Tribolium castaneum: one gene and its partners. The protein of the gene in region 1 interacts with the protein of each later gene in a biochemical or structural test. Links are inferred from orthologs where the notes say so. Each region holds a gene or a part of one and is shown on either strand. Other genes may lie near its edges.

What was found.
Region 2: of the proteins of ubiquitin-conjugating enzyme E2 G1 (region 1) and Uba1, one has a biochemical effect on the other in vitro, tested with the Homo sapiens proteins (3 studies listed by BioGRID, with this or other methods). The link is inferred for Tribolium castaneum from reciprocal best matches to the Homo sapiens genes UBE2G1 and UBA1.
Region 3: the proteins of ubiquitin-conjugating enzyme E2 G1 (region 1) and E3 ubiquitin-protein ligase AMFR form a complex in vitro, tested with the Homo sapiens proteins (7 studies listed by BioGRID, with this or other methods). The link is inferred for Tribolium castaneum from reciprocal best matches to the Homo sapiens genes UBE2G1 and AMFR.

The regions. Positions count from the first base shown.
Region 1 is NC_087401.1:11,951,382-11,954,910, reverse strand, and holds ubiquitin-conjugating enzyme E2 G1, read right to left. Parts: upstream 2,211-3,529; 5' UTR 2,028-2,210; coding exon of another isoform or gene 2,018-2,027; 5' UTR 1,986-2,017; intron 1,932-1,985; 5' UTR 1,910-1,931; coding exon 1,864-1,909; intron 1,491-1,863; coding exon 1,388-1,490; intron 1,333-1,387; coding exon 1,235-1,332; intron 1,186-1,234; coding exon 1,007-1,185; intron 957-1,006; coding exon 879-956; 3' UTR 523-878; downstream 1-522. UniProt on the Homo sapiens protein: Accepts ubiquitin from the E1 complex and catalyzes its covalent attachment to other proteins. In vitro catalyzes 'Lys-48'-, as well as 'Lys-63'-linked polyubiquitination. May be involved in degradation of muscle-specific proteins.
Region 2 is NC_087394.1:32,757,008-32,761,327, reverse strand, and holds the start of Uba1 (ubiquitin-like modifier-activating enzyme 1), read right to left. Parts: upstream 2,811-4,320; 5' UTR 2,459-2,810; coding exon 1,795-2,458; intron 1-1,794. UniProt on the Homo sapiens protein: Catalyzes the first step in ubiquitin conjugation to mark cellular proteins for degradation through the ubiquitin-proteasome system.
Region 3 is NC_087396.1:17,624,907-17,627,927, reverse strand, and holds the end of E3 ubiquitin-protein ligase AMFR, read right to left. Parts: intron 1,779-3,021; coding exon 1,619-1,778; 3' UTR 642-1,618; downstream 1-641. Other genes in the region: Cdk5 (cyclin-dependent-like kinase 5), read left to right, coding at 1-30, 83-229. UniProt on the Homo sapiens protein: E3 ubiquitin-protein ligase that mediates the polyubiquitination of lysine and cysteine residues on target proteins, such as CD3D, CYP3A4, CFTR, INSIG1, SOAT2/ACAT2 and APOB for proteasomal degradation.

The DNA of each region.
Region 1 (3,529 bases):
GTTTTTATAGTTTTGAAACAGTTAATACGCACAAATGATTAGAGATATTGTTATTTGTTTAACTTTAGTTAAAACTAAAATAAATTACATCAAAGCAGTACAAATGAATGTATTTTGCAAGCAATAAGAAAAAATATAATGTATGAATATGTAAAATTGTACTATTCATTTGTGTGTAGTTTATTTAAAGACCAATTTACAACAGGTTTAATGCAATGGAATAATTCTGAACTTTAAGTGCGATTTTTTCAGAATCCTCTCACTAGCAATATGAAATAAAGTCGATTTCATTTACAGGATTTTTTGTATTGCTGAGATTTGTGAAAATTCTGTAAATGAAGCAACTTTGGCCTAAGGTAGAGAGGACGTGGAGTCGAATCAAGTCAATTAAAAATTAATTTTGCAAGTAAATGGTGTGAAAAACTCACCGTTTCGGGCGCTGCACTATTTGAAGGCTGTTTGACGGGACGCATTCTTGCCAACTCGGGATTTTAGGTAAATGTCCAATTATTAATAACGATAGATTTATTAATAAAATTTACTTAACTTATGATTCCTACAGTGTTACAGTTGAAATTTACATAAACTAATAGCAGTTACAAGTAGTGTTTTCGACAAATGTCTTAAGTATTACAATTAAGACAACATTTGAATCTTGACGATCGCTTTTCGTTTTACAATACCACATTCACGCTGAAAACTTGAATTAGACCCACAGAAATTTGAATGATATTATTTTATTGAAAAGAAAAATCCGACTCTCTTTGAGATCGTGAAAAAAAATTAAGAAAAAAGCAACGGACTCGATTCCAGGTAATATAAAAAATGCGAATTTTTCAATTAAGAATCAAACCGTTTTGTGAAATTGGTTTAATGTACTAACATTCCTCTTGGGACTTTCGGACACATCGTGCTACTTTTCGTTTGAATTCGCCGTACATTTCCCGCCACTCTTTCTGGAATTCCCCAATTAGTCAAGTGATACACACGCTATTTTTTCTCTTACCGCAGCATCGACATTCGCAGGTGATTCATCGTTTGGGTCGGCTAACATTGAAATAACGGATATTAAAATAGTCTCTACAGTATGAACTGGCAGCCACCTTTCTGACGCTTTTTCATAACCGAACTTATCATCCCCTGGCTCGTGTAGGATTGATATACACACGTCGCCATTTTTATCGACTAAAATGACACTCAATTAATTCTGTGAGCCCCCCTGGGGGTTGCTTACTGTTAGGGTGCCATATTTCTGTCACGAATTTCATTTTGGGCGGCCTGAGTGGATATTCTTTGGGGAAATAGAGGTGGCATTTGAAGAAACCTCCTTCGCTGCAACACATTCGCGTTCCTAACCTCAAATTTTTTTAACGATTAAAAAACTTACTAAAGCGTGTCCGGAGGGCCGATTATTAGCACTTCCCATCTATAAATGTCATTATCGTCGATTAGCCCAGCAGAAAAGCCCTCGACGGGGTTTTTGTTCAATTCTGGAAACAAACCAAAACTTCATTATTAAAATAACACGACCTTAAGGTCATCGCTCGTACGAGCGACTTTCACGAATTTTTCATGAAATGAGGGATGCAAATGTCAGAGATTTTTTGACAGTTGGGGTTAGAATCGTGGGGGCCCCCCGTGTTTGAGGGGTTAGGTGCGTCGGTTGGGGTGTATTCGCCGACAGGGGGCCCCAAGTTTCGGGGGTGGGTGGCTGCATGTGGCCGGGGTCGTGTCGGGTTGAAATTTTGGGGTTATAATTGATCGTTTTGTGGATTTCGGGCCGAGTTTGGTGTCGATGGCATCGTATTTCTTTGTGCTTTGTCGGCGATGAAAGAATGAATTTAAATCGTTTTCGTGACTCACCTGCTAGCTGTTTTCTTAGTAGAAGGGCTGACTGTGGTTCTGACATTAATTACAAACTTAATTTAGAGCTAAAATTAAGAAACAAACACAGTTTTCTGGGAAAAGATGGCCGGTGTTACTACCAAATAGGACCGCATTGGATCATTTGAGTCACCTAAAAACATATGGTATGTTGGTGTTGGTTTGCGTCCGGGGTTGGATTATGGCCGACGGGTGCTAGTCTCGGGTGGAAGGGAAGAAATCTACGCCCGGTTGCGGGAAATTTGAAGTGTGCGACTTTTGAAAAGAGAGTTTTGGAGTTTACGAGAATTTTACGATTTTCGACGAATTTTGACGCATGACAAATAAAATAGGTTGCTTTAGTTTCAAAAGGGTCTGTCTATTTTGCTGACCAAATAATTATTAAACAGTAGTAGTTTTTAATTTTGAAGATAGAAGAGTTGAAGAGGCATTATTGTGAATATTCAGCTCTTGAATAATTTGAATAATAATAATAATAATAATAATTTGAATAATAAGTTATTTTTTTCTATTGTTTCTTGTTGTGTTTTTCCTTACCTTGTATTTATTACGGCTAAAGTATAAACTTGGCTAGCTTGTAAACTAGCCAAAGCATTGGTCAGTGTTACGGCTAATGTGTAAACTTGGCTAGTTTGTAAACTAACTGGTTAGTTTGTAGACTAACTGGTTAGCTTATAAACTAGCTGGTTAGTTTGTAAACTAACTGGCTAGTTTGTAAACTAACTGGTTAGTTTGTAAATTAGTTGGTTAGTTTGTAAACTAGCCAAAGCATTGGCCAGTGTTACGGCTAATGTATAAACTTGGCTAGTTTGTAAACTAGCCAAACCGTTGGCTATTTTAATAGAAAATGCAATTTTAACTAAAATAGCGGCTAGTATGTAGAGTACCTACAGTCCTCGGCTAATTTACTTGAAAGATAAAATGGAATTTTATGTTCGCATTTTATTAATTGTAAGTCCGAGTTGTCAGAAGGTTGGTAAGTTGGGTGGTTTAAAAACAAGATAAAATATCCATTGTTTTAATTAGTTTATATAACAAGATTTCATAACTTCAATTTATTCACATAAGTTAGCCCAGTGAGTTGGTTAGTTTGTCAACTAGCTAAAAAATTGTATAACTTGTGTTACCAGAAAATACGGTTTTAATAGTAACCAGAGAAAGTCTTGTAAAATTTATAAACCATTTTATCTGTCAAGTAAATTAGCCAAGGTTATTAGCTAGTTTGTAAACTAGCCGCTATTTTATTTGAAAGTGCGTTTTATGTTAAAATAGCTAATGCTTTGGCTAGTTTACAAACTTAACAGCTAGTTTACACATTAGTCGTAACATAATCATATAAATTTTTATTGAAACAAATTTTTAACAAAACTTTTTTAACAATTTTTTCACGAATCAAAGTTGAGTGTTATCAAGAGAACGTCTTGGATGATCACAGATTTAGATTTGTTGTAAAAAAGTGCCCCAAGAATGTCCTACTTCGTCTAGTTCTTTTGGCTTTCGCTTTAAAAAATAAAAACAAAAGTTACCAATTTTTGATTTTTCGAAATAATTCAAAAACTAAAAATAACGTCAAAATAAAAATGCGATCACTGATTTGCGCTTTAAATTCTTGCTTTAATTTTGGAATTTCGTCAATAAACGCAGT
Region 2 (4,320 bases), on another chromosome or scaffold:
ATTCATTAACCCATTGTTTATAGACGTTACAACAATGATCATTAAATAGCTGCTTTTGCAATGAAATAAAACAGAAACCAATATAATCAAATAAAAACTGTATTACGAGTAAGCTGCTTCACTACTCTATTAATTTTCTTGATCATTAATAATCCAAATGTGAATAACATATCACATATCGAGAGAAAAGAAATTATACCTAATAGATAATAATAATTAATAATAGCCAAATAGTTGATTTTTGATGATAAAAGCCCACAAAGACGTTCCGCTAACATTAAAAATTAATTTAGATTTTTTTTCTGATAATTTAACTTTTAATTTTTAATATTTTTCCTGAGACACTCTTTTAAATGTTGCGCCTCTGTTCCCAATATTGGCGAATTTATTGTCAAATTTGCTACTTTGATTAATTGTTTTGAACGTAAATCATCAATTAGTGTCATTCCTGCTAACTAAATTCAAGAAAAAATGATCTGCCAAAAACTTAATCGAAAAATCTAACATTTGGAGAGCTATATCTCGTAAAAAATGGAATTACCCTGTAATTGCCTGTCAATTGACTCAAAAGGCAAATTTTACAAAAAAAAATCGAGTGTCATGTGTAATTCAGTTAACCCAGACCCAGATTTTTAATTTTTTTCATGTTAACATTGTGTTACCCACTTTATCGATAAAAATAAGATTGAACATTTAAATTGGATTTGTCCTGATACATTTGGGTCATTAAAAACAGACATAATAATTTTTCAACAGCATAAAAAAATTGACAAAATAAGACTTTTTAGATTACGATACTAAAATTTGACAAAGCTTTACTGTACTGAGAATGGGAAAAGGAAAAGTGTTTAAACCAATTTTCGAATAAAAAAATACAGAGTTTTCTTTTGGTTTCCATAAAAAATGTGGCTTCAATAATGTAATTTATGCTTTAACAACAATATCAATTTCTGAAATTTTCTTAGTTGCAATCAAAAATATTTGATCTAGTTTTCAGACGACTTACATTTAAATAAATCTTAGTATGAAATGGTGTCATTATTACTCAGAACTGTATCGAATATGAATTTAAAAAAGTTTCGTTTAAAAATAAAATAAAAAATCTCTATTTTAAGCTATTTTATTTAATAAAATAGTTGAATACTGAATGCTTGGAGATCATTTAAGTTGCATCAAGATAAAATTATAGAAGTTTTGTGATTGCAGTGCTTCTTTAGCTGATCTTACCAAGTTGTTCTATTAGGTAAGATATTGTTTGAAGTACAGGGTGAGTCAATAGTGGGTTATTTCTTGACCCGGTATTTAACTAACAAACCTAAAGATTTTTTTAATAAATATACAGCTCACCTTCAAAATATCAACCTCCTACCCTCCACACAAGTGGTAGTTTACAGGAGGAAAAAAGGGATAGTACAGCATCTATTTTTAATAAAATCACATGTTTTTTACAACATTTTCTCAACATTTACACAAAGTTTAATGCCATTCGACTGCTACTTTGGTAAGCCAATAAATGGCTTTAGGTTTTATGAATAGTCTCGAATTATGTTTAATTTATTAGGATGACAGATTTATTTGACCATACGGTATTTGAGTACTGATATAGTGCCCTTTGGGGATTTTCACTCCATACCTTCGCACATCGCAAGGAAAACAAAGGCAAACTTCTAACATCGGATTAATTTTAGCCACATGATCAGGTTGATTGCACAATAATTGCCAATATAACCCGACGTACAACGTCAAGATTAGTCATTGTGTAACAATGCCTTCCATTAGGTTCTTTGTACCCACCTTCTTTATCGGTGGAAATATCAGCGATCATCGCCGAGACCGGCGACTCCCCGTTGGTGTCAACGACCGTGAAAGCATCCCCGAAATCACAGAACACTTGGGCAAAGAGCCCCCTCGTATCGGCCACAATGAGCGCAATGTTACTGGCATGTGTGATTTCGCTGATTTGCATCTGCTCAGCGAGACAACTATTGGTCAGGACAACGACTCGGAACTTGCGGATGAAGTCCGGCGTCAGGGGGCCCGTGTAGGCCTTCGTGGGGACGTAGGTGTTGAGCTCCGCCAGCTGCTTGCAGCAGACCTCGGCCCTGTTCTTGCCCACGTCGGCTTCGGTGAAGTAGAACTGCGACGAGAGGTCGGCGACGCTGCAAACGGCTTCGTCATGCAACGTGACGGACTTGACCCCGCCGAGGATGACGTTCTTGGCCACCTCGACGCCGAGCCCGCCCAGGCCTGAGACCAGCACGTCGCTGGAGGCCATGCGCCGCATGGCGTCGTGCCCCAGGACGTAGAGCTGGCGCGAGTACAGACCCTCGTCGATGTCCTGCTGAGACGATCCGGAAGCGCCGTTGTTCGCCATGTCGGTTGAAATCGGGCACGAGTCAAGCTTCCGCTTCTTAGTTGGGGGATCGACGGAGCCTTCGGCGATTTCAGCACTAGACATCGGACACGAAAGGACACAGTTTGATTAGTTGCGGGTCAATCGAGGAATTTGCGCGCTGATAACCATATAGCAATGTCAATTGGCCGGTTTTTTCACTTGGATTTAGACACAACGCTGGCTGAAGGCGCACAACGAACGAACAAAGAGACCACGGGCCGAATGCGCATGCCGGAATGCGTGATTCACGCACTCCCACAATTCTGCAAACTTACGCGCTAAATTGGAAATTGTCGCGAAAGATTCACACTGATTGTTAAGCAGAGCAATGGGGGCACCGAAACGACCCAAGTGACTGCACACTGTTTAACATTTTAACATCTGTTTTGACAGTTACGTTAATTTTGAAAGGTTGTGGAGGAAAATTGGGGCCGTATCGTCGTAGGCCATGATTGACAATTTTTAAATTTGTTTTGTTGGTGCCATTGTACTCATTACTGGCGGTGTTTAACACATTTAAAATTAGTGCCGATGAGGAGTGCCCCAATGGTTGCGATAATAAGTCTTATAAAACACCTGAAATATGCGTTTTTTATTTTGCCTTCATTGTGTCCATAAAAAAACGATAAAATTGAAAATGTAGGGAGTTTTGTATTACCTGCATTTCGATTTGTAGCATTGACGAATTGTCATTGTCAAAATGTTTGAAAATGATATTTTTTTAAATTATTCCAATAACAAATTTCACTCTTAATAGCAGCATTTTACGGTACAAAAAGAGTGAAAATTAAAAATTATTCCAAGTATTACCGTCACGCAGCAGTTTTTACAAAATTGGAGGGCGATTTTTGTACACTTAATCATTCAACTTTGTATTTCAGTAGCTTGGAAGGTCAATACTTTCTTTACGTTTTTTTTTTTTTGTATTTTGCATCGTTAAATAATGTCACCGCACTCGCTAATAACAATTAATAATTACTTATAAATCATACCTACGTTCTGGAAAACTGCGATAAGTGATAAACATTTGTGACTAATCTGCTAGGTTTTTGATTAAATATGAGCAACATTTGCATTATTTTATGCCTGAACACGTTTTGAATGACAATAATTAGATATTTTTAAGATCACTCTCCTTTTTGAGGTATCAAGTATGACGTAAGTCAAAAATATTGTTTATTTTTGTGATGGTTTTGTGGGCCCGAAATTTGTCAATAGCATTACAATAGAAAATTAACCAATGGCTCATTTTTAGAATGTTTTTTTGTGTGAGTTGTAAACTTTAACATCTTAAATTTATCTAAATAAATATACAAAGTACTTACAGCGATTTACTCGAAAATAATTTTCCCACAAACCATACGAAAATTCCTGTAAGAAAGGACAACACCACGAAAATGATCATTTTGCTCTATATCGATGTGACAAGGTAACATAATTTACTGTTTGCACTACTTGTTAGAATTTGTTTTTCTAATGTACCTAATTAGGGCAACAATAATTAATTCTTACCAAATTCACACGAGTGGAATAATTTCCAGCGATCAACACCACTTTAAAATTAAATTAGTTCCCACTGTTTGATAAGATTTAGGATAATCATGAAATAGACTAGATGAATAAAGTGATTTATGCGTTTAATCTAATCAATTTTTTCAACACAATGGCTATTACTTTGTCAGTCGATAACAAATTTCGTTTGCATTCAAAATGATCAATTAAAATTGTGTCAAGAGAAGAATTCACATTTTCTGAAGCTATAATATCAGTGTAAGATATACTTACCTCATTTTTGTGAAACCTTCACCAATCACCATTTTAGGATAAATAAACACAATTTTCTAGTAAAATAATGTATATTTGTACCTTGTTTTAATAGTAACAATTTGAATATTCCAAGTGTTTAATTCTACAGTGTGTCTTCA
Region 3 (3,021 bases), on another chromosome or scaffold:
CTCTATCAGCCTAACATGAGTTTATCTCAGGTCTGATTTTTGGTTCTTGCACTTTTAAAATTAATATCACATTAAATTTTAGGTTGTGCCTAAATTAGGGAACAGAGGTAGAGATCTTCTGCAGAGACTACTAGTTTGTAACCCCATGGGAAGGATGTCCGCAGACGACGCTATGGCGCACGCTTATTTCAGTGATTTAAATCCAGCAATTAAAAATGACCGATGCTAAATTTTTTTATTAATTTTGAAACGTCCATTCTCTAGTCATAACCAATTTTTTTATTATGTTTATTTGGAGATTATAATTCGGTGTAAACATAGCCATCTCACTTTCAATAAACGTACTGAAACTGAGGTGACTATTTTTCATTACCATTGGATTTTTTCGTGATGTAAACCATTTTTATATTGAAATAATTGTAGGAATAAACAACTCATTTGAATTACATTATTTACGAACCCTTGCGTATTTTGCGGGAAAAATTGGAGAGGTGCAGATAAAATGCGTTTTTTTAATAATTTATTACAGCAATACTAAGCACAATAACAAAGATTAGGAGATTGACAGGACACGTAAGTACGACGAAATAAGTAACTGATATACTTTGGCCCTTAGATATCTGGCACACAATATGTTTGCATGGCAATTACGTATTTCCTATATCGAAATATAACTAGACAGTTCTATGTTTAATAAAGAGAACATGCACTTTGCACTGCATAACAATATGAAATACATGTTCGACCTACGAGGATTCCCTCGGGTCTGAGCATTTTAATTATACACAAAAATTCAGGCCGGACGTTTTAACACTGTAATAAAATCGCGTGTAAGTAAACAAAACAAACATTAAAACATAGCAAAATAAAGCACGAATCTAAAACCTAACACAAAAACGTGAAAGTATCACACGGAAATACCAAGAGTCAGTCTTTTATCACAATGTACACTACAAACTTAATTAAAATTCAAGTGCAATCTGACCAAAGCCTTTAAAAATATTTCATCCAGGGCGAGGTTCACCAGATCCGATTGGTGAGACTAGCTCTAACGATGTAACACCGCTAAGTGGTGACTAAGTTTTATTAAACTTTGATTAAGGAACATTAGTTCGTTTAAAAAGACAGTTATTTACTTCATCTAAAAATAAAGAACATAAACATTCTCAAATAAAACAACAAATTGCAAATTTATCACTCGGAAAATGACTAATCGACGTCAATTCAATTTCAGACTAATAAATATCTTAAACCTACTTAATAATTTATAACATGAATTTCATACAAACTTACAAACGCCATAACAACTTAGATATTCCTAAACTGCCATTACGAAATGATTTGTCTTTAATAAATCGGTATTTAAAACACGTTCCCGTTTTATCATTTTTAGTTTAGATCCACATCCCTTGAGCCTTGCGTTCGAAAATAAAACAAATACAATTCTGCAAGATAATTCAAATTTTTACATAATGTTATCTAGACATTTATTATTAATATCTAAATATAGCGCAGTGTTTTAACTGCAGATATTTTCAATGTACACTTTAACAATTTGTTACATCTGGGACAACTTTGTCAGACGACTTCTCCCCTAAAAAATATCTTCATAAATACTTCAACTTTGTAGCTCCACTTTTGCAGCAGCGGCGGCTTTTTGTTTCTCGATGTAGCGTTTTCTGGCGCTCTGAATCAAATTCTCTTTGCGTCTGTGGAGAATCTTTTCGCGCTCCGACGAAGACTTCGAAAATCTGCTCCCCAAACTGCTCGTATCTTCACTGAAAAAGCACAATCTTCAATATTTCTATATTGGCTATGCAACCAGTAAAACACTTCTGTCAAGATTAATAATTTTGTCTCCATGCATCAAGAAGGCTATGATTTTGATATTTTTTGCGTCACAGGTGTTTCTACTTGATTTTTTACTTAAGTGTATGCCGTGTGGCTATAACGTGTAGTTACTTGTAAGAAAACTGTTAAAAACAGATTTGCAAGAATGAATAAAAAAGCGGAAAATTCTGATGGTGTAAGTAACAAATTAAGTATTGTATTCCTAGTCGAATAAGGGTTATATGGCCCCCAGTAAAATAATTAGACTCTAATAATGAGGGGCACTGGAACTGTTTGAAAACAGAGAAAACCTTAATAATAAATGCAAATTTTGAGTTGGTGGCACGGGTCTGGTAATAAACCCATTGTGAGGCGGTTAACTTCTGTACAAAAAACCCTCTATAAAACCTTAAAACAATTGGAATGCTATAAGCTTGTATCACAAAAGTTGTCAAATCTGTATTTTATTTCGTTTTAACTCTCTTCAATTAAGCAACCAAGCAAGTAAACAACAATCATTTGTCTTGATCTTTCAAAAATTTTTATATAATGTAATAAGTATAGCAAATTACTGCAAACTTGCATTAAGATTTTTATTATTAGAGGCAGTTGCCTTTTAAGGAGCATTTCTTGTTACAGTCCCCGTACACGATGTTTGAGGCAATATCTGCTCAAGACACAGAATCAGTGAAATATTTCCTTGAAGATTTAAACATAAGAAGTAAACGCAAAGGCGAAACAGTATTAACGCACGCTGTTGTTCATGGAAATTTGGAAATCATCAAACTTCTGTTGTCCAATGGTGCTGATCTTAACGCCCTTTGCTGTCATGGCGACACACCTTTGATTAAATGTATCACCAAAGGAAACTTAAAACACGCCAAATACTTGGTAGAAAATGGAGCAAACACTTGTCAAGCGGACAGAAACGGCTACACTCCCTTAGCTCACGCTGTATACAACGAAAACACGGAAATGATTGAACTCTTATTAAAAAGTCACGCTCGGTTCACCCTCCATTCAGGCCTGTTTGAAGCTATAGACAACTGTAACTTTAAAATGACAAAATTCATGCTTGAAAAAGGCGCTGATGTTAATCTTTGCGGTGAAAACGGAGAATTTCCTCTTACGCACGCTGTTAAGAAAAAACAGTCCGAAATTGTCAAGCTTTTGATAAAAAAAGGTGCTAAC